Caenorhabditis elegans: one gene and its partners. The protein of the gene in region 2 interacts with the protein of the main gene of each other region in a pairwise test. Each region holds a gene or a part of one and is shown on either strand. Other genes may lie near its edges.

The links.
Region 1: the proteins of rad-54.L (region 2) and rpn-8 interact in a two-hybrid assay, tested with the Caenorhabditis elegans proteins (2 studies listed by BioGRID).
Region 3: the proteins of rad-54.L (region 2) and tag-52 interact in a two-hybrid assay, tested with the Caenorhabditis elegans proteins (2 studies listed by BioGRID).
Region 4: the proteins of rad-54.L (region 2) and rad-51 interact in a two-hybrid assay, tested with the Caenorhabditis elegans proteins (3 studies listed by BioGRID).

The regions. Positions count from the first base shown.
Region 1 is NC_003279.8:4,173,050-4,178,715, forward strand, and holds rpn-8 (26S proteasome non-ATPase regulatory subunit 7), read left to right. Parts: upstream 1-2,269; 5' UTR 2,270-2,273; coding exon 2,274-2,393; intron 2,394-2,446; coding exon 2,447-2,591; intron 2,592-2,635; coding exon 2,636-2,721; intron 2,722-2,781; coding exon 2,782-2,838; intron 2,839-2,947; exon of another isoform or gene 2,948-3,015; intron 3,016-3,305; coding exon 3,306-3,434; intron 3,435-3,483; coding exon 3,484-3,882; intron 3,883-3,928; coding exon 3,929-4,081; 3' UTR 4,082-4,222; downstream 4,223-5,666. Other genes in the region: R12E2.11 (Orotate phosphoribosyltransferase), read right to left, coding at 1-208, 260-574; mrps-6 (Small ribosomal subunit protein bS6m), read right to left, coding at 922-1,140, 1,309-1,387, 1,437-1,582, 1,646-1,690; R12E2.13 (MIR domain-containing protein), read right to left, coding at 4,369-4,542, 4,606-4,695, 4,745-4,872, 4,982-5,085, 5,262-5,386.
Region 2 is NC_003279.8:9,062,706-9,071,833, forward strand, and holds rad-54.L (DNA repair and recombination protein RAD54-like), read left to right. Parts: upstream 1-2,373; 5' UTR 2,374-2,381; coding exon 2,382-2,485; intron 2,486-2,899; coding exon 2,900-2,978; intron 2,979-3,051; coding exon 3,052-3,295; intron 3,296-3,338; coding exon 3,339-3,478; intron 3,479-3,577; coding exon 3,578-3,923; intron 3,924-3,996; coding exon 3,997-4,121; intron 4,122-4,166; coding exon 4,167-4,285; intron 4,286-4,329; coding exon 4,330-4,407; intron 4,408-4,454; coding exon 4,455-4,581; intron 4,582-4,629; coding exon 4,630-4,737; intron 4,738-4,782; coding exon 4,783-4,891; intron 4,892-5,202; coding exon 5,203-5,369; intron 5,370-5,759; coding exon 5,760-6,101; intron 6,102-6,528; coding exon 6,529-6,626; intron 6,627-6,747; coding exon 6,748-6,859; intron 6,860-6,902; coding exon 6,903-6,977; intron 6,978-7,268; coding exon 7,269-7,352; 3' UTR 7,353-7,559; downstream 7,560-9,128. Other genes in the region: prmt-7 (Protein arginine N-methyltransferase 7), read right to left, coding at 1-85, 138-262, 354-442; snx-3 (Sorting nexin-3), read right to left, coding at 1,029-1,134, 1,223-1,443, 1,490-1,555, 1,598-1,693; rsbp-1 (Abi_C domain-containing protein), read right to left, coding at 8,973-9,056.
Region 3 is NC_003284.9:3,672,512-3,681,045, reverse strand, and holds tag-52 (Putative protein tag-52), read left to right. Parts: upstream 1-2,488; 5' UTR 2,489-2,491; coding exon 2,492-2,725; intron 2,726-3,057; coding exon 3,058-3,273; intron 3,274-3,323; coding exon 3,324-3,507; intron 3,508-3,551; coding exon 3,552-3,712; intron 3,713-3,755; coding exon 3,756-3,932; intron 3,933-3,985; coding exon 3,986-4,316; intron 4,317-4,362; coding exon 4,363-4,440; intron 4,441-4,483; coding exon 4,484-4,561; intron 4,562-4,627; coding exon 4,628-4,986; intron 4,987-6,615; coding exon 6,616-6,795; 3' UTR 6,796-7,005; downstream 7,006-8,534. Other genes in the region: Homeobox protein ceh-63, read left to right, coding at 7,358-7,372, 7,417-7,476, 7,523-7,603, 7,663-7,799, 8,503-8,534.
Region 4 is NC_003282.8:10,280,573-10,287,030, forward strand, and holds rad-51 (DNA repair protein RAD51 homolog), read right to left. Parts: upstream 3,673-6,458; coding exon 3,648-3,672; intron 3,564-3,647; coding exon 3,484-3,563; intron 3,443-3,483; coding exon 3,161-3,442; intron 2,925-3,160; coding exon 2,778-2,924; intron 2,724-2,777; coding exon 2,566-2,723; intron 2,080-2,565; coding exon 1,988-2,079; intron 1,939-1,987; coding exon 1,662-1,938; intron 1,531-1,661; coding exon 1,404-1,530; 3' UTR 1,062-1,403; downstream 1-1,061. Other genes in the region: thk-1 (Thymidine kinase), read right to left, coding at 1-17, 969-995; ebax-1 (SWIM-type domain-containing protein), read left to right, coding at 6,434-6,458.

The DNA of each region.
Region 1 (5,666 bases), 4.9 Mb from region 2:
AAACAGCTATGGCATCAGTGACCAACAGATTCTCATTGCGAATTGCTTCTGCTGTCTCACGAATTGATTCACCTGATGTGACGACATCTTCGACAAGAAGTACTGTACCACCAGGCTGATAGACTCCTTCGATAAGTTGCTTTGTTCCGTAGGCTTTGGCTTCTTTTCTTTTCATAAGCATCGGCACATTGAGAATATCAGATACAAGCTAAAAACATTGAGTCTCATTTTTTAGTGTGAATTATTTCTGAAAACTGACGGTAGCAAGTGGAAGGGCAGCATATGGTACTCCAACAACATAATCGAATTTGAGGTTTGAGGCGACAATTTTCTCACACATAGCTTGAGCAGCCATTCGGAGCACACGAGGAGAGCTCATTATTCTGCGAAGATCTATGTAGATTGGAGTCATCTGGCCAGATTTGAGGTAGAACTCCCCAGTGCGAAAACATTCCATTTGATAGAGATTCTCGAAAAAATCAGTTTCCTGGATTGGTGAAGCGGCCTGGACTTTCATGACGACTGGATCCTCGATTGAGTGATTTCCGTTGGCGGTAGCGGTGGCGGCGGTCATTCTGAATTTTTAACAATTTTCGAATATCAATGTGAAACAGGTTATTTTCTTTCAATAGAAAAGTGAACAAATATCACTTGGTCAGATGAACCAGGTACGTGATTTGAAGGAAGAAAAATAAATAAATAAAAATGTGATATTCATGAAACAAAACAAATCAATTCAACTTTAAGAAAACAAAAATCACTCTATAAATCCTAAAACTGTACAGAAGAATCGAGAAAACAGACAACGCAAAGTACGAAAAGATAGCCTCGTTTGATAACACTATCATAAGGAGGTGTGGCCAAAAGTGCATTGTCGGCGATCTTCGACCCGTAAATTTAAGTCGATTACGAATTTCATGTCTAGGGCCTTGGCGGAGCAATTGGGTAACTCTTCGGGATACTCTTCCACTCCTTTTCAGTACGTTTGTAGATCATCTGTCGCGTGAAATGACCCATCTTTTGATTTTCTCTCAAATCCTTGACTGCTTGACGTTCGGCAGGAGATTTGAGGATTTCTTCCAGATTGCATTCAACCTTTGGAGCCGGCAGTGTGTCCACTTGAATTAGATCGACTTGAACCTGAAAAAATATGGTTCAGATTTTTGTAATGACCAAAAAGTGACAAATTAATTTAGAAAAAGAACAAAACAACATTCGAAATGAATCTAAACAAAGAAAACTTTTAAACAATAAGACCCGATCATACATCAACATCAGATAATATATAATGAAATTTAACTAACTCACCGTGTCCAGGTCATGTGTCAAAATAGACTTTGTTTTCTGTCTAGCTTCCCGAGACATGTGCGCCTTGAAGAGGAAGAAACTGCAAAGAACAAACAATTTTTTTAAGATATATAGTTTTTAAATATTACTTTGAAGCGTAGACGGGCTCATTTGTCTGTTTGGCCAGCCGTTTATACGGTAAATCTCGATGACCCAGTGACTCAACCTTTTCAATTACTGCTCCGTGATCCAGCAAAGTGTTTCCAGCACGCGTTAAAGCTTTAACAAGATCTGCCTGAAATAAAGAATATTCTCATGATTATACACATTCTCACGCTTCATCGTGTTTTTTCTGTACCTTTGACAGAGATCGTGTGATCATGCTCACTTCATAAAACGGCATTGTTGTTCTCGCCCAGTATGAATGCTTTTTCTTCACTGAAAATATTTTCTATGCTACGAATTTGGAAATATGTCAATGAAAATCACGATAAGAAATCACAGCACAAGCTATTTTTCCAAAATAGGAAGTTGCCATTTTTCAACGACAGGCTGTGAACACAAGATTATTAAACAAAAATTTACTAGAACAATAAAATAAATGTTCAATTTTCAATTTTTCGCATTAGAAAGTTAATTTTCCGTCATTGCAATCGAAAAAAGTTAATTTTAAAGTAAAGAACCAGGAAAAATAAAGTGGAAATACGGGATGGGTCTCACCACGGCCAGTGTCGATTTACGGGGAAATTGCATGCGCCTTTAAACGATGATATTTCTTTTTTGAACGGGAAGCGGGAAATTGTCGTTTTTAAGCATTATTTATTTATTTCTTTTCATTTTTTCATTCAAATTATATTCTAGATACGTTTATGGCAGGTTTTTCCGCAATGATTAAGCGTTTCTCACTGTTATGTCGATTATTAACGTGTTAAACTGTTATGTGTTGATTTTTTATTGTGATAAATTTATTTTCGTTTTTTAGAAGAATGGCTCCAACTAACAAAGACGGAGATGTGGCGACTGTCAAAGCTGTAGATGTTCTCAAACAAAAGGCTGGAGCCCATCATTGCCTTGGAAATGTTCATGCAAACCTTCCCGTTAATAAGGTTAGCATACCTGAGCGAGAAAATTCGATTTTAAATAAACACAATTATTTAAGGTGACCGTCCATCCATTGGTTCTTCTGAGTGTTGTTGATCATTTCAATCGTGTCAGCAAAACTCAAAGCGTGAAGCGTGTTGTTGGAGTCCTTTTGGGGTCCATGAAAAAGGACAAAACTCTGGATATTGGAAACAGTTTTGCTGGTATTTTTAAAAATTTATTTGCTTACTTATAAAGTAATTTTCAGTTCCGTTTGATGAAGATGACAAGGATAAAAGTACATGGTTCCTCGACATGGACTATTTGGAGAGCATGTATGGAATGTTCTACAAGGTTGGTGAATTTTGAAATCTCGTTTTTATTTAATTTTAAACAAAAAAAATGAATTTACAGGTTGCCGCCAAGGAAAAAATCGTCGGATGGTATCATACGGGTCCAAAACTTCACAAGGTATATAAGAGGCAAAAAAGAGACGGGGACAACGCGCGTAGTGGTCTAGTGGCTAGCAGGCACACACTCTGCGCCTCCAGCCATTGGTTCGATTTCTCATTCCACTCGGGTTTGTGATGACTGCATACGGATCACTGGGCTCTGAATCTCTATGAACCGATAATATCCGTTCTGATACCCGTTTTTACGGTTTCATGATCGATGGAGCGCGAACTTGTTTAAATTTGAAATTATACTGTGCAAATAACAACAAAGCAAAAAAAAAAAAACTTAAAACAAATCAAATCAAAACTTTTGAAAAAAATCGAAAAAAATGCAGTGGATACCTGACAAAAAAAAAAGAAAAAACCGTGTCACAGTGTTGCGAAATTACGCTCCGCCTTACTTTCTGTGCCACCCTGATTTTTGCAAAATTACGGTGTTCAACTTCAACAGTTTAATTAATTATTTATTTATTAATTTTACAGAACGATATTGCTATCAACGAGCAATTGAAACGATTCTGCCCGAACCCGGTTCTTGTAATTATCGATGCTGAGCCAAAGAACATCGGATTGCCAACAGAGGCTTACATCGAAGTTCAGGAAGTTCACGATGTACGTTTCAAAATACTGTTTAATTTTTTTTCAATATATTGTTTTGTAGGATGGAACTCCACCAATCAAAACCTTCGAGCATGTGCCTTCAGATATCGGAGCCGAAGAAGCTGAGGAAGTTGGAGTCGAGCATCTTTTGAGAGATATCAAGGACCAAACTGCTGGAACTCTTTCACAGCGTATCACCGATCAACTTATGGGCTTGAGAGGACTGCAATCACAGCTTGAATCCATTGAGAAGTATCTTCATGATATTGTGCGCGGAACTCTTCCAGTCAACCATCATGTCATTTACTATGTTCAAGAAGTTCTCAATCTCCTGCCTGACGTCACTCATCCAGACTACATTGTTTCACAGAATGTGCAAACTAATGATCAGCTCATGTGTGTGTATATGGGATCTCTTGTACGATCGGTGGTCGCTTTGCACAACTTAATTGATAACAAGGTGATTTGCAAAGATTTTAAAATTTATTAAAAGCTATGATTTTTAGATCTCTCTCCAGAAGGCTGAAAAGGAGCAGGAAACTGGCGAAGCTGAGAAAAAGAAGGATGAAAAGGATAAGAAAGACAAAAAGGATGAAAAGAAGGATGAGAAAAAGGAAAAGGACAGTAAATCATCAACCCCTAATACTCCAAAGAAGTGATAAACAAACTCAGAACATTGATTGTATCCTCATGTCCACTTCTCCACCAATCTCTTTTTCTTTTACCCTATCGCATCATATACATTTAATTTATTCGGTCTTTTATTTTTCTGTGCATCAATGTAGTATTTTATCCCCGGTATTTAGATCAGTTGCCAATAATTTTTCAGAAGACAAAATCTAATAACTTTATTAGAAAAAATAACAAAGATAACATCCCCGTAAAGCAATGGTAAATATCACGAAGAAAGGCATGGCTTATTAAATTAGGAGTATCCAATGTGGATTTAAAGATCTTTTTGCTGATGCTTGATGTAAATGCCTTCGGCAACTTTCCATGCACTTCCACCAGTGATCGAGTCGGTGCCGACGACCTCCCGTTGTCCATGAATGGGGCGTCCGAATTGTTGTCCCGAGAGTGAGAGGTATGAACCAGTGACAGCGTGGCGAAGTTTGAATTGCTAAAGTGAACAATATAGGGTATTCAAAACGTATAGATAATATCGAAAAGGAATGTAACAAACCTCGGATTCCAACCACTCATCTCCGTTGCAAATCACAGTCCAATCATCTCCCGTGTCACTTTCTGCTTCGCTGCCAAAAGCGGAGACCTCCTTTAAAAAATCAAATTATTCATTTGTTTTCTCGAATTGCCAAACAAACCTGATGTTGTTTGGAGAGAGGTGCAGTGAAATGATGGGAATGCAGGAACGTGCCCGTGGTGAGGTGCTTCAGACGGATCTTGTCTCCGCATTTGATTGCATCTCCACGATTGCATTTTGCGTTCAAAGCTGAAGTAAGAGAATGTTCGGTTTTCTTTGTTCTTTTTTTTCAAAAAGCATTAATATACACAAATTATTATAGTTTAAGTTACTAGGCGTTAACTTCCAAATAACTAACCTGGGAAAATCTGCCAATGAGAATTGATGTCGTCCGAGTTTTTTACAGCAGTCACAGATTGTTGGCCGGACCCGCTTCCGTATTTTACGTCATGCGAATGTAACCTGAAACCTTTTTGTTTCAAACAAAATCTACTTTTTCGAAGGGAAAATGCTCATTTTCTCAGGAGATATTCTTTAATATTTACTGTTGGTGGCAACTATTTATTTAGTGTCATTAACTTTACCGAGTTTCTAATATTAGTGCAAACAATTTTAATAAAGTAAGCTGGCTCACGTACCTAGAGCCATCATTAGCATTTATAAACTTTAAAACGCTGTAGCACGTCACAAAGTCTTCATCGGCGTATGCAAATGAGGCGAAGAATAGAAGTGGAAAACTGAGTAGTAGTGGCAATTTCGGCATTATTTTGGTTCCCTGTAATAATATTCTGTTTTATTATTCCAAACTTTCTAGAATTTCATAGAGAATGTAGCAGAAAAGATTATAAAAAGAGAAGCTCCTGCAAAAATTAAATCAACGTCGCTTTGCACGAGATGTGCGTCAACCAACGTACACCATCGACAATGACGTCAGTAGCCGCTCTTGACGTACTTTGTTCCCAACACCTTGTGGTTCCGCAGTCAATTTTTTAGCTGTTTGGCGGCCAATTGACGCGACACCGCTTATAAAATTTATATCACGA
Region 2 (9,128 bases):
CCCATTGGTTTGAAAACTTCCAATGCAGTCACTTTATCAGCTCCTTCTCGAGCAGCCATTAGTGAAAGAAGTCCAGTTCCAGTACCTGTAAATAGTAAACTTTAAAAACCGAATAAGTTGAAAACTTAACAGCTAACCAATATCTAAAACATGAACTTTCCCATCTGTATTTTCATGTTTTTTCTCAGCAATCGTAGTTTTTAATCCTGCGAGGAACTTGTCATTTCTATCAAAATCCAGAATCATATCTCCAAATCGACTTCTGAAAATTAACGTTTTAAAGCAAGAAAATGCGAGAAGTATTGTTTATTAAATTTTATTTCTATGCGGAATATTTTTTTAAAGTTGAAAACCTGGCAAGTTCCTGAGCCATATCATAATCCTCTTCAGCCACAACCCATTCTCGTTCGCCGGTTTTTTGATTTATCTTCTCAAGGAACATTTTTCAGAAAACCCTGCAAATTGTCTATCTTAAAGATATGCTCGTTTTAATGATACACTCAAGATATTTGCGATATGCACACAACTGCCAATTTACCACTTTAAAATCCAAAGAAACGAAATCAAGGAACGGAAGACTTATTTTTCATATTTGTTCAAATAAAAGGGGTTCATGCAATAAAAATAGTGCAATCAATTGGGAAATTGGGAAACTATACACAAAAATGTAAAAATAAATATGAAATAAACAGGAGCCAGAAAATGGAAATCAATGGGAAAGAAGTGGTGATGGGGACAAAGTACACAATTTCGAAAAATACCGCATTTTGGTGGAGGGATGGAAACAATATTTTGATGGGCCGAGATTAAATTGGAAAAAAGCTTCTAAAAACTCACTTTTTGAAAACTAAATATCTCAAAAGATCAGAAAGCGTTACTCATTTTTTGTTATGTAAAAATATGATAAGAAAACATTATCATTTTTTAAAAGTTTCCTTCTGTTTATTGAAACAGACAGCGTTAAAACTATAACTCTGGGTATTTTGAGATTTTTCTCGTGAGCGGAGAATTTAGAAACATTTTAAAATTTAAGCGGTACGAATTTTGCCAGGCACGTAGTTTTTGTCAATAGTTGGCTCCTGGAGGAAAATATGGAGAGAGCGTTCGTTTTGAGCAAGTGGATGTCCAGCAACCCTGCAAGAACATATTATTAAAACTTTTAGAAATGTGAAAATTTTCTGAGTTCATTTTGATGTCCGTATAGTTGAACAGTTTTACGTACTTATTGATGAATAACTCGAGAGCTTTGCGCCTATTTTCAATGAATTCCTCTTCAAAAATTCCATCATCGGATCGGAATGGCAGTTGCCGTTTGAATGATTTTCCTGGCAACGTTGGAACCACAATCTTGCTATCTCGCTCTAGTTCAGCACGAACCCATTCGAAATCACTGTATCGGCGACGCACGCTTGATTCTTTCTGCTTGAAAACGGGGAGATTCGACTGAAACAACGATTTTATTATGCGGTCAGTGTTAATCTATACTTACTCTCATTCTGATTTCGTAATCCGTGTAGCGCATTTTTCCAACACCATGAGTGATAGGATTGATAACCTGCAAGTTATCTTGATCTAATTCATTGATTTTTATTCAAACCTCAATTTCAAGGAAGTTGGCCGGCGGGGCATATGCCTCGTCCAGCGTTTGCCGTTTTGAAGGGATCCGCTGAGTTGCCGACGCGCCGGATGCCATTTGCACTGCAAATATTCTAAATTATATCAAAGTTGCTTTGAATTGTTTATTTAAGTATCGATTTTCACAATATAAACAAAATAAAAGTGAAATTTATGTTGGAATCCAAAGCTTTAATCGACAACATGCGAGAACATCGTTTGCTTTTTGTTTCGCTGTTCGGCAAACTAAAATGGAAAAAATAATATGAAGCTGTGAAAAATCAATAAATAAAACTGGAATTTCAAGGAAATTACGGCAAAAATGACTCATCGCGCGCCGATAAACAAAACGAATCAAGAAATGAAAAAAGTGGCAAAAGTACGCAAACACTTTTGTGTTAATGCACACAAAAAATTCAACCGTACCTCAAACTGAAATTTCAAAAGCAGACACCGCAGATTCATGGAATGAAAAAGCAGTGACTCGCTATGACTCAAAATTTTAAAAAGATTATAATTGATTCAAAAGCAAAAAAATGTTTCACAACAAATCTATGTTGTAAAATAATTGTTAAATTGAAAATTAATAGCTGACACCGCCCTGTGTCCGTGTTTCGTCTTCTTCGAAACTTTGTTTTCGTTCAAGATGGCGCGGCGCCGTTCTTTTTGAATAAAAAGAGCATTTTAAAAATTTTGTTGAATTTCTGTAAATTCTACTTGTTTATTCAGTTGTTCTGCGAAATTAAAGATTTTCTTAGTTTTCAGGAATGCCAAAAAAAACGTTCGAAAATTTAGAAGATAGTCATGGAAAAGATGTTAATATCCCAGTTGAACTGCCAAAAAGGAAACGAGAAGTTACACCGGAAAATTTGTGAGCTTTTATAAAAAATTCAAATTTTAACACATACCGTATTCCCTCTATTAGTCTTGCATGCAAGACTAATAGAGGAAATACGGTAATAGTCATGCACCCCTATTCTTGCCAGGCCAGCAGTATTTTGTCAAAACTTCAAAATTTTCGCCATTTTTTAGCTAAATTAAATTTTAAACTGTTCAAGTAATTGATAAAACAATAGAAAAGCATGTATTTTGCATGATTTAGACTGTTTCAAGTCAAAATTTTGACGATAAATGGCCAATTTAACAAAGCTATTGGATCTTCGAAAATTAGTCTTGTAGCCTCTAATAGTCTTGCAGTCCCTATTAGTCTTGCACCCCTACGGGTCTATTGAAAATTAGTCTTGCATGCAAGACTAATAGAGGAAATGCGGTATATTATTTTCAGACCTTCCACAAGCTCTACTGCTCCAACACAAAAACGGAAAAGTCTAGGATATTCAGGACGAACGGAGGAACCGAAAAATGTATTAATATTTTTAGTTGCAATGAAATACAATTCGGAACTTAATTGTAATTGTAATTTTTAATGTTTTTCAGATACACAAAACCTTCATTTCCCCTTTTTCTACGTCAGTTTCTCCTTCAAAACAAGGTCTTCGACGACGAAAGAAGGCACTGCCTGCCATAGAACCACCTGTATCTGTAGAAGAAGCAAGTCCATTACGTTTTGTGAATATCGATGTATTCTCTAGACGTATGGCTTCCGAATCATCAGATCACGATGCTATGATTGCGAAGTTGTTGTCGAGAAAGTTTTCAATTCCGATGGAGGGATATATGTGTAAGAAAACATGTAAAAATGTTTATTTTAAACGAGTTTTCAGTATCTGGTCGAAGCCTAGGTCTTGGTGGAAACCGTCGAAAATGTGCTCTATTTGATCCATATCATGAAGGTGCATTGATTCTTTATGCTCCTGAACATCTTAGTGAACACGCACAACTCAAGGAAGATAAGGATCGAAAGGTGAGAATTTTAGCTGCGAGAATCGAAAAAAAAACATGAATAAAAAAAACGACTCAAATATTGCAAAAATATGAATGTCCATTTTATCAAATTTTTCAGGTGCACGTGGTAGCCGATCCGGTTGTTGGAAAAATCCTGCGTCCGCATCAAAGAGATGGTGTTAAATTCATGTGGGATTGTGTGACTGGTATTAATATTCCCGAATTTCATGGATGTATTATGGCTGATGAAATGGGTCTTGGAAAGACACTTCAATGCATTTCTCTACTTTGGACACTTCTACGACAAAGTCCCGATGCGTGTCCAACAGTTTCGAAGAGTATTATCGTTTGTCCAAGTAGTTTGGTGAAAAATTGGGATAAAGAAATCAAAAAGTGGTTGGGAACACGGCTGAATGCGATGCCAGTGGACAGTGGAAAACGAGAACAGATTATTGCTTGTCTCAGTGAGTGAATAAACTTGAAATCTTGAAGAAAATGTTATAAACCCCTGAAATTAAGTTAATTTTCCAACTTCAGATTCATTTATGGCGGATTCAAAAATGCGTTGTGCCATCCCTGTTCTCATTATTTCATATGAAACATTCCGTCTTTATGCGAATATTCTTCATTCTGGAGATGTCGGAATCGTTATTTGTGACGAGGTAGATACTGTATTGTTTTGACTCTATTTAAAACGAGCTTTTCAGGGACATCGACTCAAAAACAGCGAGAATCTGACGTATCAGGCGTTGAGTGGTCTCAAATGTGCTCGAAGAGTCCTGATTTCGGGTACACCTATTCAAAATGACTTGTTAGAGTATTTTAGGTACTATTTGTTCAAAATATTCAATTATTTTTAATTAACTTCAGTTTGGTCAATTTCGTGAATCCCGGACTTTTGGGTACTGCAAGTGAGTTCAGGAAGAAGTTCGAGAATGCTATTCTAAAGTTAGTTATTTTTATTCCCAATTTTTTTAATCCGTGATCTTTTCTAGAGGTCGCGACGCCGACGCAAGTTCAGAAGATCAGAAGAAAGGTGAAGAGAAAACGAAGGAAATGATTTCACTTGTAGAGAAATGCATTATTCGAAGAACATCAGCTCTTTTAACAAAATATCTTCCGGTATGATATGAAAGTTTCTGATTTCTAAATAAAATTATTTAATTTCAGGTTAAATATGAGCACATCATCTGCTGTAAAAACTCAACACTTCAAGAGACACTCTACAATAAACTTATCGAATGTGAAAAACAAAACCGCATTGTCGAAAAGGACAAGGTATTTTGTTTGAAAATTCAAAAAATACAAATAAATTGTTTTTAGGGTGCCACCGCATCTGCTCTTTCGTTTATCACTCATCTCAAAAAGCTTTGCAATCATCCATATTTGGTTTATGATGAGTTTCAAAAACCTGATAATAGGTTCAGAAACAGTGAGTTTAGAATTTCAGATTTATAAAAATGTATTCAAAATCAAGAAAAAATCGGAGCATTTAAAATCGGAAAAAAAAGTTCAAAATTTAACTATAAATTTCAATGTTTCGTAAAGCTTTGTTTATGCTGATGAAAAAAAAAAGAAAACGTATAATATTCTTCAGAAAAAACCAAAATTTTAAGATATTTTTCGAAAATTCAAAAAAATTTTTAATATCGGAAAAACAAAAAAAAGGTTTCGATTTACGATTTTAGTGAAAAATCGAAAAACCGACACCGTTTTTCACAAACTTCTGAAAATAATTTTCAGAATGTCTATCCATATTCCCTGAATCATTTAACCCGAAATCATTTGATCCATCGTTTTCTGGAAAAATGAAAGTTCTCGATTATATTCTCGCAGTCACTCGCAAAACAACTGATGACAAGTTTGTTCTCGTATCAAACTACACACAGACAATTGATCAATTTATGGAGGTAAGCGAATTTCCAAAAAAAAAATGATTTATGATAAAAATCTAGACCGACTTAAATGTGGAGTTCGCTTCAAAAAATCATAAATAGTCTCAAATTCAGAAAATTCACAACGGAGAAAACGAAAAAAAAAGTCAACTTTAAAAAATCAATTTTCCATGTTCGGCTAAATGTTCTGTTTGAATTTCCTTCAAAATGAGAAGCCCACTTTCCAAAAAAACAAGGAATTTAAAATGTCGATTTGTTTTTTTTTTCGCGATTTGTTTGCTTTCTTTTGTGGGTTTTTTGGAATGTATGACTATTTTGGATTTTTTGAAGCAAATTCACCACCTTTAAAATCTAGACCGACTTATAACGTGGTCACTTAAACTTTGAAACTTCTTCACTTTTCAGCTGTGCAAACTTCGTGGCTATGATTTCGTGCGCCTTGATGGTTCAATGTCAATCAAACAACGTTCCAAGATTGTCGATACATTCAATGATCCAGCCAGCACTATCTTCTGTTTCCTTCTTTCTTCGAAAGCTGGTGGATGTGGTCTAAATCTTATTGGAGCCAATCGATTAGTTATGTTTGATCCGGATTGGAATCCAGCGAATGACGATCAAGCAATGGCGAGAGTTTGGAGAGATGGACAGAAGAAAATGTGTTTCATCTATAGACTTTTAGCAACTGGATCAATTGAAGAGAAAATGTTTCAACGTCAGACACATAAAAAAGCATTGTCATCGTGTGTGGTAAGATTTCCTCTTGTTCATATAATCTAAAAATGTTCTAAAGACTACTAGAACTAAAATGTTAAATTTTGCGATTTTGTCAAAAAATTCGGTTCCCCGCTTCGACTTTTCTCAAATGCAAATGAGTGTGCGCCTTTCAGGAGTACTGTAGTTCTCAATTCCTCGTTATCGTGAAACTTTTTTTTAATTTTTTGCTATTTCTTTTTCGCCTTTTCAAATACTGTATTACATGTATCTTAATTTGCTGAAAATTCTGAAAAAAAACCTAGAACCACGGTACTCTTTAAAGGCGCTCGCCATTTTTAATTGAAAAATTGGTCGTGTCGAGACGCGGTAACTAACTTAATTTTAGAGTGAAAATTGCAGATTATTATGTGGTTATTATTATCAGTATCTGGGTATTTAATAGTTATCTTAAAAATTTCAGGTTGATGCGGGTGAAGACGTAGCTCGTCATTTTAGTTCCGAGCAACTTCGAGAACTCTTCAAGTTGGAATCAACAGTGGCATCGGATACACATGAAAAGTAAGTATCAGAATGAAAATAATATTTTTTATAAAACCGATTTTATTTTTGGTGAATTTTTCTTCTGATAGTTATAATAATGTTATGCATTATAATGTACAATTGTATAAATTTCTTTCAGATTAAAATGTAAAAGATGTATTCAAGGAGTTGAAAGTGTTGATCCACCAACCAATGCGGACTGTGCAAGTGATTTATCGAATTGGTTTCATTCTCAGAAATCAGCTAGAAAAGTTTGTATTTATTATCTTTATTTTTAAATATTTTAATTTTCAGGTGGCTGATAATGTGCTCCGAGCCGTCTTCGAATGTGGATCGATCTCCTTTGTTTTTCATCAGAAATCGCACAACGTAGGTTTAAAAAAACTACGTCTATGGTGCCAAAATTACCAAATATAATAGTAAAATGTTTCAAAAAAAAGTGGAAATCAAAAAGTGACAATTGCTCAGTTTTTGTCACTCAAAATTTTGGAAGTCGACTAAAACAATTTTCCAAAACCGACTGGATTTTTTTTTTGGAAATTCTTTCGAATTCTAGTTGTGTAGTTTATTTTTCTAATTCTGTAATTTTTAAATTGTCTGTGATATATAATTTAGAATCATTGAATTAATATTTCCATGCTTCAAAATAGCGTTTTGCAGGTTGAAGTCAAGAAAGTTCAGGAAAAAGTTGAAGAAGTTGATGAGGACTACGTGCCTTCTGAAGCCGAAGAAAACGACGATTAGTTAAATGTTTCCAAGTTGAAACAAATCTAGAAGTCTCCCTATTTCATAACATAGACTATCTATGCGATGAAAACGGGACATGTTATATTGTTTTGTTATTTATTTAATTTGTTTCTTTCAATTTTTGTTCCAAGTCATCCCAATATCATTTTTATCGCCCGATCTCATGTAAAATACACCGCCTGCAATATGAATTTTCAATTTATTTTTCAAATTCAGACAAAAAAAAGACAAACTTTGATCAAATTGTGGGTGGGTTGGAAACGAAAGGGGTAGTTGGTAGTTTTTTTTTGCACAAAAATACATTGATACGATGTACAAATTTTCAGAAAAAAAATTCATGAAAAATGTTGAGAAAGAGGAAAAAATTATGCAAAAAAAGACATTATTTTGTAATTTGAGGGAAGAAATTATGCCTATTATTATAATAAAAACTTTAAATTTTCCGGGAAAGGTCAGGCGCCAACAGGTATGAAATGAATATATTATATTTTTTGAGCTTTGATGATGTAAATAAAACGGAAATGTTGATTATCGATCGATTTTTTTTTCAAATTTGAAAAATCAAAATCGACAATCTTCGACTTAGACAATAAATATGCAAAATGTCGCAAAAAATTCAATTTTTTGGGGGAATATTTTGGTCAGAATCAGTTCACTTTTTACAGGTTTGAGTTAACCTATTTGAGGTAATTGACTAGAAGAAATTTTTTTAAAAATATGGAAAAGTTACAAAACTACTAGGCGATTTTACAACTATTTAAATTTAAAATTTGAAGAAAACACTTTTTTGTGGCTTTAAGAATGGAAGACACCAGATGGAGATGAAGCCAAGCAATGTCTGCACCTGTAAAATGTTTGGGTTACTGTAAGGTTACTGTAGCTATGAAGTTCTACATTTTTAAGGTGGTGTAGAGTAAATGGAAAGTTCGCTTTTAAAATATCCAGAAGAAAATCAGTACAAATGAAAAATACCTAACTCTAAAAATTGGGAATGAATTTCCTCCAATAGGAAACGCCACGCCCACTTCTAATTTCATTAGTGCAAAAGTGGGCGGGGCGATTCGCTGATTGGTCTTGCAGTTCTTATTTTTCGAGGAAGTTTCAAGATATTTTTTTTTTTAATCATAATTTGAAAATCGAGTAAATTTTTTTTTGTTTTTGTTTTTTTACTTTTTGGAAATTCAGACTAGTTTGGGTATTTTAAAGAAAAATTCCCACAATACTACACCTCAAAAGCAATTTAATTTTTTAAAAAGATTATTAAACGCTATTAGCGTACACTAGATTGTTCAAAAATTAATTTTCTGAAAAAATATTATTTTCCAATGCATTGGGAAGAAGACTCGTAATTTTTACTCAATTTTTCCTTTAAAATTTTTTGAAAAAAATTTCATTACAACTCATTTTCAATAATTTAAGTTCACAGACGTTATTTAATTTTTTGCATAACATTTTTTAAATTTATTTCTCTAAAGAATTCAGATCAAAACTTCAAATACTTACCTATAAGAAAGAAACATTGGCGTAGAGAAAAACGTGAAGAAAACCGAAAGAAAAGTGGGCGGGGCTTGTTGATCCGTTTTGATAATTGTGAAATTCGAGCTCATTATTCATTTTTCATGCATAACTCGTTTTCAATTTTGAACATACGCACTGCGGTCGACACGATGTGGCTCTCCTTCTTCGTGGTGTTACTTGCAACTGAAATATTTAACATTATTTAGGGCAACGTTGAACTTTTTGCCGAAGAGTTGTGAAATATATTATTTTGTA
Region 3 (8,534 bases), on a different chromosome or scaffold from region 2:
TAAGAGATACGAGACGTGAAAAGAAAGTAAACATAAGCAGGAAAATCTGAAGAACCAAAATTATGACATTCTACATATAGAATAATGCATTTTGTTAAATTTTTAGCAAGAAAGCGCCATAAATAATTCATTTTCTCCTCAGGTGCAAAAATAAGATTTGAGTATTTTAGAATTTCGTTAGTGAATGAAGCGATCAAACTTTAAACTTTCCGGAAGAAGCAAGATAACTCGGCGGCCACACGCAGCGATTAAAGAATCTATTTGCCGTTTGAAACTCTGGCGGACCGCGTTGCCAACTGATAAATTGAAATCACAGCTGACCATTCAACGAGCCACGCAGCACACGCAAACGAGTAGACCGGAGAGAAAGAGGAAGAGACAGGAGAGCATTTACCTGGCAAACAAATTCTTGACCTCATACTATGCATCATCTCTTCGTTGTGAACAAATAAAGTCGAACGGTGGAATACTGCATTGGCACTAGCCGACAATGTTAAGCGATGGGCAAGGACTCCTGAAAAATGCTACAAGTTATAAAAAATTTGAAATTTAAGCAGAAGTTGGTCTCCTGAAAAAAATAAGTGAAAATTGATAACAAAACAGTATTCAGAATTGGTGAAAAACTGTGCCCTTTCTGAATTCATGCTCACCGGTAGGCATTATTTGGACTAAATTTGGTACATTTCCTTTTTTACCCCAGATTTTTCTGGAACATTTACTTTTAAAAATTTATGCTTAGCAATTTTGTTTTCTAAGCCTTAGAATGAAAATAGTATTAAAATGAACATTCACGTGAGCATAAAATTCGAATAATTCAATGGTTTGAATGTTCTTTTAAAATGCGGGGTAGAAAATGAAAAGTACCCTAAACTTAAATATTCAATTAATTTCGAAAGCCCTCGTGGACTATGAGACTATCATTTTGGAAATAAATTAAATTTCCATTCATTTGTCAAATTCGGTCTATTTCAATTGATCGTGTTTTGCTTTTTTTTTTTCCTTTTTTAAGGCTTAGAAATGGTTGTTTCCGCCTCATGCAAAATCACTTTACTTTTTCCATAATTTGCATTTTAAATATGTTCCAATAATACCCAAGACTAAAACTTTTGAAAATGTGTTTCCTGCTTTAATACAAACATATTTCTACAAAAAATCTGAGCTGGAAGTTTTTTGAGGTTTATGAGTCGCCTTTCCAAAATTCAAAGATTTATTTACAAATCTTCATACTGGTTTAATTACATTCTCGATGTTCGACTAAAACTTCTGTACAATTTTTTTTACTAAGATTATGTTTCAAAAATTTATGTTCCAAAAATGCACCAATGCTCTAATCCTTGACAAAAACTGAATTTCTGGAACCTCAATGATTCCCTAAAACGGTGACTAAAAATCTATAAAAAACCACAATATTATGAAGACTTTTCTTAAATTATCTGGTTTTTTTGCCTATTTTGATCACGTGTAATCTAAATAGTATTTTAAAAATTTCTGAGAACTATCTATTTTTCAGTAATAGATTTTACATATTGATATTTGGCATCAGCTGTTGTTGGTGTTTTTCTCTGAAAATCACTTTATTTCTCATGTGGTTTGATGTAATTACATTTTATTCCACAACAAAATATGGAAAATCTCATGTCAGTATATTTCTTTCAATTTACATGCTGTTTAGAGAGGGCTTTTAGACAGCTTTGACAAGCTTAAGGACGAAACGGAGAAATATATTTTATTATTTTATATTTATTTAGTAGTTTCATTTAATGGCTTCTTATTTTTTATTTTATAAACGACGGGAAAACGCGCAATTTTATTTGTTGTACAATGGTCTTTGTTCACACTAGTTTCTACGTTTTGTACAGTCCTCTTGTTTGAAACGCCAGCATCTGATAATATTCCATTTTCCACTCCACTCATGTGATTGTCGGGAAATTCGAGACCATGTGCTCTTCCTATCATATCAAATCATCTGACTCCAGTTTTTAAAGACTCCAAATTTTCACTACTGATTTATCATTTCCTGTTGATCTAGATACTGCCCAACAAACGCATCTCTTCCTTCTACTCTGCTACTCCCAGATGACGTAGCATCTACCAACAACATACAGCACGGCATTTGATCATTTGTCTTGCGCAAAAACGTCCTTGTCCTCCGTGTTCTCACATAGTGCCCCCCCCCCCCCCACCCCTTCTTCACTCTTCTCATTTTTCCTTGCATCATGTGGACATGCATGGCCAACCCCCACTATAGCGATGAGTGTGCAAACGCGCTCCTCTGATGCCACCGCGAATTTGAATGCGATGGTGTTGTGGCGGTCGTTTGGGAGAACACCTGCCGGCCGTTCTACTCAATCTATTGATTTTTATCCCTCTTTATCCCGTGTTCTGTTTGCAGAGTCTTGTTTACCGGGTAGTTCTCTTCATTATCAATGTCTTTTTTTTTCGATTTAAAATCAAATGTTTCCTTTCATCTAACTCTGTTGTTTTTCAGACTATGAACGCGGGCAAAGAATTCAACTACTACACGTACCAAAGTGACTCGTCGCAAGGCAGTTTGCAAAAGGCTCCCGATGAAAATACTGATTATTTCACACATAAGATGAACAGCTATTTGCCATTTGACATGAGTACACTGTATGCTAATCAGCCGACAGAGAAAATCCAGATTTTACAAGAAATTTATGATACCGAGAGAACCTATGTGAAAGCGCTCACTATCGTCGATGAGGTCAGGATTTAATTATATAAACCAGAATGCCGGTTGCCTAAAAATTGCCGAAATTTGTAACATTCGGTTTGGCAGCCGACAGTAGCCGGTTACCAAAAATTTTGGCGTTTCGCTGCTATTGCCGGTTGCTTTTGGAATCATGCGTTTGCGCTTTTTGATATTCTCATGAAATGATGCTCGAACACTTGCAACCGAGGTACCTGAAAAATCTATGACAAAAATTTGTCAGGTACGACTTACCGAGAACCGTGATTTATAAAACGCATCTATTAAATTGATAGCCATAAGTATCTCAAAAACTTCTAAAAGCTTCTTAAAATCTTTTTTTCCAGATATTCATTCAACAACTTAACTTGTGGTGCCCCAAATCAAAAAAATGCTTCCGATCCATGTTCGGCGAGATATCAGCAATCTGCAAGACTCATCAAATCCTTCTGGAATCCCTTCAGTGCAAGCCGATCGCCGAGGTCTTTACCAAATTTGTACCGTTCCTCAAACTCTATACCAGTTATGCATCCCATTATCCAAATTCGCTGAAAATTTTTGCGGTTAGTTATAACAATAAAATCTATGATACCTTATTATTTTTACTTTCCAGAAACTGATGTCTCGCAACGACTTCCGCAAAGCTCTGACCAAAATTGAGGAAGACCCCAGAGTTGATGGAAAGAAACTCCAGACATACCTCATCATGCCAATTCAACGCATTCCACGCTATATCATGCTCATTCAAAATTTGATGAATTACAGCACTGAGAAAGATGATATGACAAACCTTTACAGTAAGAATTTATTGGAACGATTTTCTTATAGCTACTTTTTTCAGAAGCGTTGTCGGGTATGCAAGGGCTCTCCGATCAGATTCAATCCTGCATGACAGCTTATGAAAATGGAGAACGACTCCTTCAAATCCAACTGAATTTTGGTCTGGATGGGCACATTCTTGAGCCAGGACGCGTATTGTTGAAGGAAGGAATGTTGTACAAGGTAATATACATTTTAGTATCAATCCTAATTTGGTTAATTTCAGAGAGAGCTCAATGGATCAGCCAACTACCAGGAAACCGTGGTCTTCCTGTTCAATGATATTCTTCTTTACGGAATCAAGAGAATCAGTGTGATGCCACTCTGCAAATACGAGCCGTCTGCAATTCTCTCACTCCGTCACTGCATTGTCCAACTTGATGATATAGGAGGGAGCATATTTGTATGTGGTTATATTATTATTAAAGACTCGAAAATGGTAACTTCAAATTTCAGATTCGTTGTGGAGACGTCGGTGTGGACTTTACAGCCTACTCACTCGGAGGTGTTACGGAGTGGTACAATGAGATTTGCGATGCTATTGACAACGCAAAGAAGCTTCGTGATACGCTGCGGAAAGAGAGTTTCAAGCAAAAGTCGCTCATCTTTGACAAAGGATTCTGGCAGAGAAATCGAGACAAGCTCCGTAATATGATAACTGCCGATATGACGGGCAACATCAGTCGTGTGTTGACAAGAAAGAAGCCAGCTCCGAAGCTCGAGGAAAGTGATTTTCTTCGTGGACAGTGGACAACTTCCACGATTGCTTCGAATCAACGGAAGCGAAGTACGTTTATGAATATGTTACCCGGTAATTGTTAATTTGTTTTCAGAAGTTGCTACTTTGGAGGATGAAGAAGAAGACGTATTCAACATGCTATCTTCTCCCAATCTATCTCAGCGGAAGCGGAGTATGTTAGAAATATTGAGATTTTGATTAATTTGGATTTTTAGAAGCCACTCTGCAAGAGAACACTCCATCAGGCGTTGGTTGGACAGCCTCCCCAAGAAGTTCGTCTTTTCGAAAACGTAGTGAGTTTTTCAAGGCTTAGTTTTTCAAGTTTTTCGAGGCTTTCAAAGCAATGCGTGAATTTTCAGGAGCGTCTACTCTGAGAAATAAAAATGCAGATGTAACTGACGGCAACAACTACCTCAGCCATCTTGTTCTCAATGATGTCACCATGACACAACCGTACACTGGTCTTAATGCTTTTGTGGGAACTCCAAAGTCGAGAACACCAACTGATGACGATTACGACAGTGATCGGGACTATGTTTGGACTGATGACGAGGAGTTTGTTTCGGACGACAAGAAGATTCCAATCAGACGTGTGGCTAGTTATGATGAAGAGGATCGCCGCCCACGCGATTTCAGCGAGGTTCGTCGCTCTGTGGCTTCGGAACCACCACGTCGCCATCTTGCAGTGGACGACATTCGCAAGTTGAGCTACCAACAGGTTGGTGATTGAAGAGTTAACTAGGGAAGAGACTGAAGGTGCCACCTGATTTTCTGTTGTATATAAATTTCAGACTTCGAAATTTTAGAATTGAGTTTGCGGTGAGCTTGCAAATATGCTCGGAATAAGCGGTGCATTGTGGGTGCTCCGAGGACATGTGTGGTGGTGGTATTTGCCAATTCATATAACTTTCATGACTTTAAAAAAAGTTTGGAAGATGTCTGAATTTTATCAAAATCTGGAATTTTGATCACCAGAAGCATGCAATTTTCAGAAACTCGAAACATATTTTTTAAATTACGAGGGTGATTTTTCCAATAAAAAAATCTGCATGTTACCAATGGTAACTTACCATCATGAACATCCCCAGAGCTCCGATGTTGCTGCTCTTACTCGGCAATTCCCGGCAGCTTCTTCCCCAAGTTTGGGGCTTTCCAGCTTCTTACCCAACTCTTGCCAACTTCTAACCCAGAGTATGCCCAAGTCTTACCCAACTTCAACAATTCTAGTGTAAACTCCCTCGCCCGAGTTTTGCCCAAGTCTTAGCCAAGTCTTGCCAACTTTTTACCCAAGTTTGCAGATGTAAAGAACAAACAAGATTCCGAAATCCTGCATGCGCAATGTTTAGCGTAAATCGACACTTTGTCTTTTGAGTAATTTGTATTTAAAATAGAGGAATTTCGATGTAATTGAAAGAATTCACAGGAAAACTTGTCCCTTCAAAGTCAAATTCTAAATATTTTGCTCTGATGGCTAACATTGTTAAAAAATGTACGAACAAAGTTTGCCTTTTATTTCCTGTGACTGTCTAATAAACCGAATAATTTATCTAAAAATAAAAAGAAAAGTTATCTTCAGGATGATTCTTCTCCTAGTCAGTCCAATAGTCAAATAATAGTCAGTCAATCCAATGCATCAACTTTTGAATTTTTCTAAGACTAAAATGTTCCTTTGAAATGTAAACTTTTATAAAATTGAAAGACATGAAACAAACATGAATTACAGTAATTTTGTAAATTCTGTACTTAGAATCATTAGGGAGCACACTTGAAAACAAATGAAATAAGGTATGTGGGAATACCGTATTAATCCGATGTGTCTGATACTTCCTCAAAAATATCTATCAGAATATGAGTACGATATATTATTAGTGTGCATCTTTTCGCGCGACCATCATGGCTCAGCAGGTAAGACTTCGGAACAACAGGAAATGCGATCAAAGTTCAACACACACGTATAAATTGGGTAAGAAATAGGCAAAACTTGGGTAAGACTTGGGCGACGCCTCGAGACGACGAGGCAGTCCACGACTTTTTTTATTTATGAGGCGCCCAACTCTTGCCCAAGGTTTACCCAAGCCTTGGCAACTCCTTATAAATGTTTTTATTTTTTGGGCAAGGCTTGGGTAAGAAGTTGCGAAGCCTTGGGTAGGAAACTGGCGGCAAACGCCGAGTACTCATCGCAAACTCAATTATAAAATTCCCTGCTTAAAATCCATATTTAACAATTTCTAATTATGGTATTTCAAATAAAACATGTCTAGTTCAAAAGCCCGGTGGAACCTTTACATTAGACCCTTTCTCAATAAATTAGAAAAACTAATACAAGCTAACAAAAAATGATTTTCAGCGTTCTCTGGAGCCATTCAACATGGTCACTGAGGACGATGATGAGGACGACATCATTGATATCAAAGTCAAAGGAGAGCGTCCACGTCCGTGGTGGGAGACCGAATCAGCACCACCGGCTATTAAAAATCAAAAGTCTTCAATAATTGATTCAATCAGAAATAGTTGCGCAATTATGTAATTTTTCCTCTTTTTTTTAAATTTTCAGCTATTTTGGTCCATCTATTTGTATGTTTTCATCTCATGATCGTTGATCTCTGCATTGTGTCGTTCCTATTTTTTCTACACATTTTCTCCCCATTTTTCCCTTAAAAATTTATGTTTTCGTGAAATATCTCTCCCCAGAAACTGTTCAGACTGTTCACTATGTTATCAATAAACAGCTATTGATACTTCTTTTGAAACATGTTTTCAGGTACCTACCAACAATTTTTGATGAAATGAGTCATGAATCACAAGAAGCATTTTGTTCTGCAAATTGATAGGCTGGAAAAGAGAACAGAAGCCTACAATGAACAAATAGATATAATTGTTTGACGCTGGAATCTTTATTACCGGGTAGGGTAGGATCTGCTACAATTCTACAATTAACGACGTGTTTTCCAACGACGCTCCATGCTAATTGCACAGCTCTTTTCCATGTAATGTCCCATCCTGAAAAGTCATAAAGTCGTTTCCTTCAAATTAAACATCCAATTGCTCTGAGCTTTCATTGCCCCTGTTTTGCTCATTGTGTTGTTAGCATGACGTCTAAAACGGTAAGTTTGAAATAATATTATTTTTTTAACCTTCCCTTTGTCAGAATATGACGTCAAACAAATTTGCATATGACTTCTTTCCATGGTCAAATGACACCAATTCGGTAAGTATTTGATAATTTTTAAAAAGTAATCAATTTTCCAATTTAGTCCCAACAAATTAAGAACATCAAACCGCCACCGAAAAGGAGCAATCGACCGACTAAAAGAACAACTTTCACATCGGAGCAGGTGAAACATTAGAATAATTGACATTTCCAATTATTTTCCACTCAATTTAATATGTTAAGGTCACACTTTTGGAGTTGGAATTTGCAAAGAATGAATACATCTGCAAAGACCGACGCGGCGAGTTGGCTCAAACAATTGAACTCACTGAATGTCAAGTGAAGACCTGGTTTCAGAACCGGAGAACTAAAAAACGAAGGTTTATTTGATCAAAAAAATTTTTAAAAATAAACGTTTTTATTAGTAATGGTCGAAGCAAGTTTAAATGTTTTTTTTTTTAATTTTCATGTTAAAATTGTTGGTACATCCCAGTTTTGAAATTTATCCGCTAAAAAATTTTCACAGTAGAATTGATGAAAAAAAGGCGAAACCTATAATTTTTGCATTTTTCAAAATTTTGAACAGAAATTCGTTGACTGACATATCCTTTATTTTGAGAAAGCCTGAAAACCTATATTAGAAGTTGAATCTGAAACTCTACGTTCAACAAGCTTGCCTCACAACATAGGCTTAAAAACTTTAGCCTGAAATCTGAAGCTCTCTTTTGAGGCTTAGTTTTTAAGGTCAAATGTTAGATTTAATTGTGAGCCTTGCGTTTTTCAGCTTAGTTTTTTTAAAAGCTGTACCCTAGGCCCAATTGACAAATGTTTTTGCTCAATTTTCAGATTTCGTTTTAATTCTCAAATTTTAGATGTAAAATGAATTAATAAAATTGAAACAGTAACAATAAAAATGAAAGTACTCGTGAATTCCCAAAGAAACTAAAAAAATTGAAAAATATAAAACGTCCACGTTGACATTTTAAAAAATAAATGAGCAATAAGTGTTGTCAATTTACGTGCCCGTACCATATAAAATCTAAGTTATGTAAACATTCAATAATCAAACCCGTAAAATTTCAGATGTACATCTCCTCTTCGAAAAAGCATGATGA
Region 4 (6,458 bases), on a different chromosome or scaffold from region 2:
GACGAGCAGCAAGTCATCTGAAAACACAAGTTTAGAAAAACTATTGTTTAAGAAACACTCATGATTCTAAAAATATATAGCTAAATGCGGCATCACATAAACAACGCATAGAACAAGTTAACCATCTTGTTTTTACTAGATCATTGGCTAGCGCCGATTGAGACGAAAATGTATGCAGAGTGTGGAAGAACTGGGGGCCCCGGGAGAAGCAAGCATCAAAATGGCCTGCTACAGAAAAAGGATTGCAGTCAGCTTTTCCGCGTTTTGAGATGAGCGTTGCGGAACCGGTCGCCGTCTACGACCGCCTTTTGCCATTGCAGATGAATATAGAAGTTGGTGTCCGAACGGAACGAACGGAGAAAATGGAGGGACGAAGGGCGGGGAGATATAGAACAAAAATAAGTGAAATTGTTGTTCGTTCTGTATTCTTAATTTTGCATGATAAAAAATGAATAGATGATTTTAGAAGTCTGGCATTGCACAAAATATATTTCGAGCAGTGAAAGAGCAAAAGGAAAACATATAAAATGTCTCGATCTACCATACTAAAGCGGAAAATGTAGAATCAGAAAATAAATTTTTGGCTCAACACGATATACAGTTAAAAATAAACTAGTATATCATAAATAAGTGAACTTTCTTATCAGGAGCCAATTAGTCATCTCTGACGTACAAATATTAACAATAAATTTCAAAACCTAAATAAGAATAGTAAAGATCAAAAGAGGGCAAGATCATGTTGAGTAATTTGAATGAGACGATGACAACAGGCAAGGGTCACACAGCTGTTCAGCAAATGTGCTGTGACCGTCGGTATTGCATAATAAGAATCGCTTTTGAGAGCATAAGTACGGACAGTTGGGTATTTTCAGGCAATTTTCAAGGTTTTTTGTTGTTGCCGGAATTTTACAAAGCAAAAATTCCACTCCACATTTTGCGAATAGGCAAATTAGAGATAATCATCTTACCTCATTCTTGGCCGCTTCAATGTCCATTTCAGTTAGTTGGATCTGGAATTATTGCTAGGTTAACATGATGAACACGCATTTTTAAAATACAGTATTAAAGGTTTCGAAAACCTTTATAAATTAAAAAGAACATTAGCTTATCAATACTGACATAATCAGTTCAACTATACGATTCATACAAAACGACGGGTAAAACAAAAGAGAGAGAGAGAGATGCACAAACCTATATATAATACAGATACAAAAAAGGAATGTAACGGAATAGTGAAACATGAGGGGCAGGCGAAAACTTTTCATAGAGAACATAGAACGCTAGATTTAAAAACGACCCAAATAAACATGATGAATCCGTGAAAGTGTGGAGAGAAACAGAAATGTGATATATTTATCGGGATATGAATGATGAAGTTTGATAAGAAAAAGAAAAACGAACGGCTAGTCCTCGCGTGCGTCCTCAATACCATGATTCGTGATTGAGTAGGTCGCTTCGGCTTCTGGTAAATTGGGTGATTGAACCATTTTTGCGACGCGATTCTCTCCTTTTCCTTTTCGAAGGTACAATCTGAAAATATGAATAACTTAATTTTTCTTCTTTAAAAAATCCTCAAAAAGACCACATGTAATGTTTAATAAAAAAATTAAATATGTTCTCTATTTGTTCAAAATCTTCAGAAAACCTCCAACTATGTTTACCTGGTAGTAGACATGTGAGCGATGATGTGACCTCCAATGGGCTTTTTAGCATCAGCCTGGAACATCGAGGCTCCTCCGTCGACTTGTGCTACAACTTGATTGGTAATAATTACAGCGACACCATATTCATCGGCAAGCTTGGCAAGGCATTTCAGAAAAGCAGAGAGCTTCATCTGACGTTCCGCTAGATCTCCTCTTCCAGTGTATTCGTTACGGAAATGAGCAGTTGCACAGTCAACAATCACAACAGCATAACGACTCTCGGACATCATTGCTCCTATGGCACGAAAAAGTTTATTTTTTTATTTTTTGAAATTTAGATTTACCTGCTCGAATAATCAAAGCCATCAAATGTTCTGAGTTGTATGCACGTGCAACAGCGATATTCTCGAGTACATGAGCACTGTCCATATTGTATCTGCAAGAAATTACTTCGATATTCAAAAAAATGCTACAAGATCCATAATAAGGTAAATTCTCAAATGCCAAAATTCAAGCCATGTGGCGTAAACCAGTAATTGTACAAAATGAGCCATTGCGACTTGTTCTCCAAACGTTTTTATTTCAAACTTAGTGATAGAATATAGAGAAATATTTACTTTATCTGAAAAAAAAAACTTATATTTGTTGAAACAATAAGGAAAAGGCTAAAAAATTGCCTGCAAGTTGAAATTCGCCAAAAAAAGACCCGGAACATCTCTGAAAGTTCATTTACGGCAATTTCCAACTTGCAGACCATTTTTGGCCTTTTCAATTGTTCAAGCAAAAATAACAGCTATTTTCAGACTGAGAAAATATGTTACTGATTTCTCGAAATAAATTTTAATTTTTTTTTAAATTTTCAAGTCGGGAGATCAAATTATGACAAATTCAGGATTTTTAAGAATAATTCTCAATCACAAACCTCTGAGCGATAGCAATAATTCGTTCGGGTCGAAAAGTGGCATTGGTATCAATATACATACATTTTCCCTCACCACCTCCCATATCAATCGGCAATTGACACAAGACTGCCAGACTGTGGCAAAGCTGAGTTTTTCCTGTTCTATATTCTCCGTAAACCTGAAATAAATGTTTTATTGAGTACTGTTGTCAGTTTATCCGTGATAAACTCACCTCAGTGATACTGCCTGTTTCGATACCGCCACCCAACAGTCTGTCAAGTGAAGCAGATCCAGTTCTGATCTGCACCAGCTGGCTTCGCTTCACATGAACCTCGGCTCCCGTCGTGAATCCCATCTGCACGAATTTCATGGCTTCTTTCTGAAATTAAATCATTGAAATATGAGGCCGATGTCTACATGTTCACAGCTGGTCGATTTGCCGTCAAAACTGACCTTGCAGCTGATCGTTTCATTCTTTTTCGGAGCTAACCTCGAAAAATGTATCAACTTTTCTGATACTTTCAATTCAATTAATTGGATTTTGAAAAATAAAGCCACAGAATTTTTAGTTTTTTTCTTTAATTCTCGAATAAGCTGATTTTTTGATATGCTCACCATTATCTTTTCAGCTTTCTGATCACTAATTCCTTTGACATTTCGGAGTTCGCGTCTTGTAGTAAATGCCAGCGATTCGTATGTATAGTATCCAGCTTCTTTTAGTTTTGAAATATCGCCAGAACTGATTCCTGAAGACTCAAGTTTATCGATAACTGTGAAGTTTTCATCTTGCTCCATCGCATTATCCTCGATTGCTGCATTGAGCAAAGCTTGATCAGCTGCACGCTGCTCTTGATCCGATTTCTTTTGACGACTTGCTTGAGCTGACATTTTTGACTCCTGAGATAATTTTAATTAATTATTTTTAAGTTAAAACATACAATTGGAAGGAAAAGATTTATTGAATGCAAATTCAAATTATATAGCCATTTATGTGTACATAGTGAACGTTTCGCAATCCCTAAAATCGGCATTTTTAACAGTGGAGCTTTTTTTTTCAAAAATTATGCTACACATTTACCTAAACTTATTTTTAAAATGTTACCTTCATATCCCCAAGATTGTCCCATAATCAATAGCAAAAGCTTTCTCTAGAGCAACAAAAATTGAGAAAAACATGGCCTAGAGACACGTGCCAAGTCCTTCCTCGAGCCCCCGTTCGCTTGACGAAAACAAGAACTTTCATGTTTTTCACAAGTTAGAACTGCTTTTGCTGCTCTACTATTTTTGTCGTCAACTACTGATTTATAACAGGATTAAGTCCACATATTTCTAGGCGTCAAGTTGAACGAACATATTTTCGAATTTAAGAATCACAATTTATGATTTATAGGTTTTTATTAAGGGTTTTCTTAGATAGATTTTCGTTTTAGAATAGAAAACATGGAAATTTAAATGCAAGTAAAACTGGCAGTAAATACAGAATTCTCAATTTTCAAAGTAGCGCCATTTGAAATTTTTTTTTCCGCTTTTTCGATGGCGCGCACTTGCTGTACTCTTGTTCAACACCTCGCCCTCCCGTCTCGTCCACTGCCGCTCGCGTGTGTGAAAGGCACCGATAGGAACGGGCCAGGGAAAAGGAAAAAGTGTAGAAAAAGACGATGCGCAGACATACAGCAAGGAGGGTCAGTGGACGCAATGGGGAAAAGAGAAGGAAGAGGACACCCAAATGTCTACTATGTACATTGTGTCCGAACCATTTTAAAACCAAAACTGGACATTAACCTTATCTTTTGCCCTTTTGAGCTTAATTTTTATATCACTTTTCTGCCTTAAAGCATTATTTTTTAAAGTACTATTCGTTTTTCAATCACTCGAACTATTAAATCTTTAAAACATTTTTTCTTGCAAGATTCTATGATTTTTGAATACTATTACTTATTAATTTATTAATACTTAGCTTAAATTTATATAATAATTTTTTATCTTGAAAATTGTTTTTCGTTGATTGAAAATTATATTTCAAATTTAGAATTGTTCGCAATTAAAAACGGGTAAAGCATGAAATATATTTCAGAAATCGAACAAAAATCAGGCTTTTTATTTTCCGAATATCAATTTCAAGCGTTAACCGAAGCGTTGTTATTTAATGACAAAAAATTTTGTTCATTTTAGGTTTTCATTCAAGAAAAGGAAGCAAAATTTAGCATAGCTGAAGACTTTTAATTAGTTTAACTCAAAAGCTACGAGAATAATCAAAAATTTAATAAAAAACCGCGCAAATCATTAGAGGATAATTAAGTTTTAAAACTAAAATGACAAAAAATGACAAAAGAAACAATGAGAAATCAAAACATGTTTCCTCCGTAAATCGACATTGAGTACTGTAGCGATTGGTCTCGCAGCGATGTTAATTTTCTTCTGTACTCCTCTCGGATAAATTTTATTATTATTGAACATGCGTATTAAATCGTTCATTGAACGGAAAATGGAGAGAATCGCAAGAAAAAAAATTATGATGAAAGTGCAAATAATTTAGAAAGGCTATGACACAGGTGATTCGCCGTTATAAAATACTTATGGCCACCAGTATTTTAGATGCAATTTGCAAATCGCTAATCTCGCTGCGGGACCACCAACATTCTAGCAATATATTGCTAATTGCGACTTTTAGTGCAAAATATTTGCTTCATCATATTGCTGATGCCTCAACTACATTCCATAAATATTTAAAAAACCGCGAAACACATGTGTATCTACTGATAAACTACATAAAGAAGTGAAATTTGTTAATAAAATCTTTGCATGAGAATTGTAACTAACTAGGGTAATTGATTTCATTTGGGCTTAAAATTAAACTCAACACATGATGAGTGAACAATTGGGATCGAAGTTTAGATCTAGAGGTTTTCCATCTATAAGTGAGCCGGTTACTAGTGCGATCAGAAGTTGTGAATTTGAAAAAATGTTTTTGATTAATATTAATTTCTCCACCAATTAGTTTCCTTTCAAACTTTTTGTCTTTTCTTCTAATGATCCAATTCCGTATTTTAGCCTACTTTCTGAAAAGTTCAGAAAATCTTTTTGAACTCCTTCTATTTCCTGTATTATGTTTCTAAATTTTTTTGGATTTTTTTTTGAATTACTGGAATGGAGATGTTTTAATAGGTCATTTACATGGTTATGTACAAATATTTTGACCAAATTATGTATTTACTGGGCAATATCACCTCTTTCAATAGGATTCTTTCTTTGTCCTCAAACTTTTCAATTTATGAGACAGAACTGACTGATTGTAATTTTATACCCAACTATGCAAATAGTCAATTCAATCATCTTAATTTATGTGCCAGTGATTCAAAAAAAATTCCAAAAAAATTTCGAATAAATTTTCGAATTGAAAATTTTAACATTACTTTGACCAGAAAGTTTGAAATTTTTTTTTTCAAAATTTTTATTTTGAAAACGTCTTAAAATGTTACCATGTTTATAACGCTTATTAAAAAAAAGATAAGACCTGAAAAAAACTCTTCTGAGTCATTTTATGAATCATTGATTTTTGTGAGAAAATGGCCTGAAGGGAACTTTAGATCTACTTTTTTTTGATTCAAAGTGTCCGCAAGCAGCTAAACTTTTCGTAGTGACTTTTTTTTGGAAAATGTTCTTTCAAATGAAATATGCTTCATTTCAAAGTCCATTAATACGTTGAAATACTTTCCTTGTAAGTTGAAAACTGAAGGTGTATCTTTAAAAATAAACAGCTTCTTGGGTGTTTGTTGTTTCCTAATAAATCTCTTAGATTTCTATGAATCCCTCAAATAAACATTTATTTTTTTCCAGACTTTCGTGTTCTACTCGTGAGTCCACTTCACACCTGCAAACGTTGGTGGTATGCTGCCAAATGCAGTGGGCAACA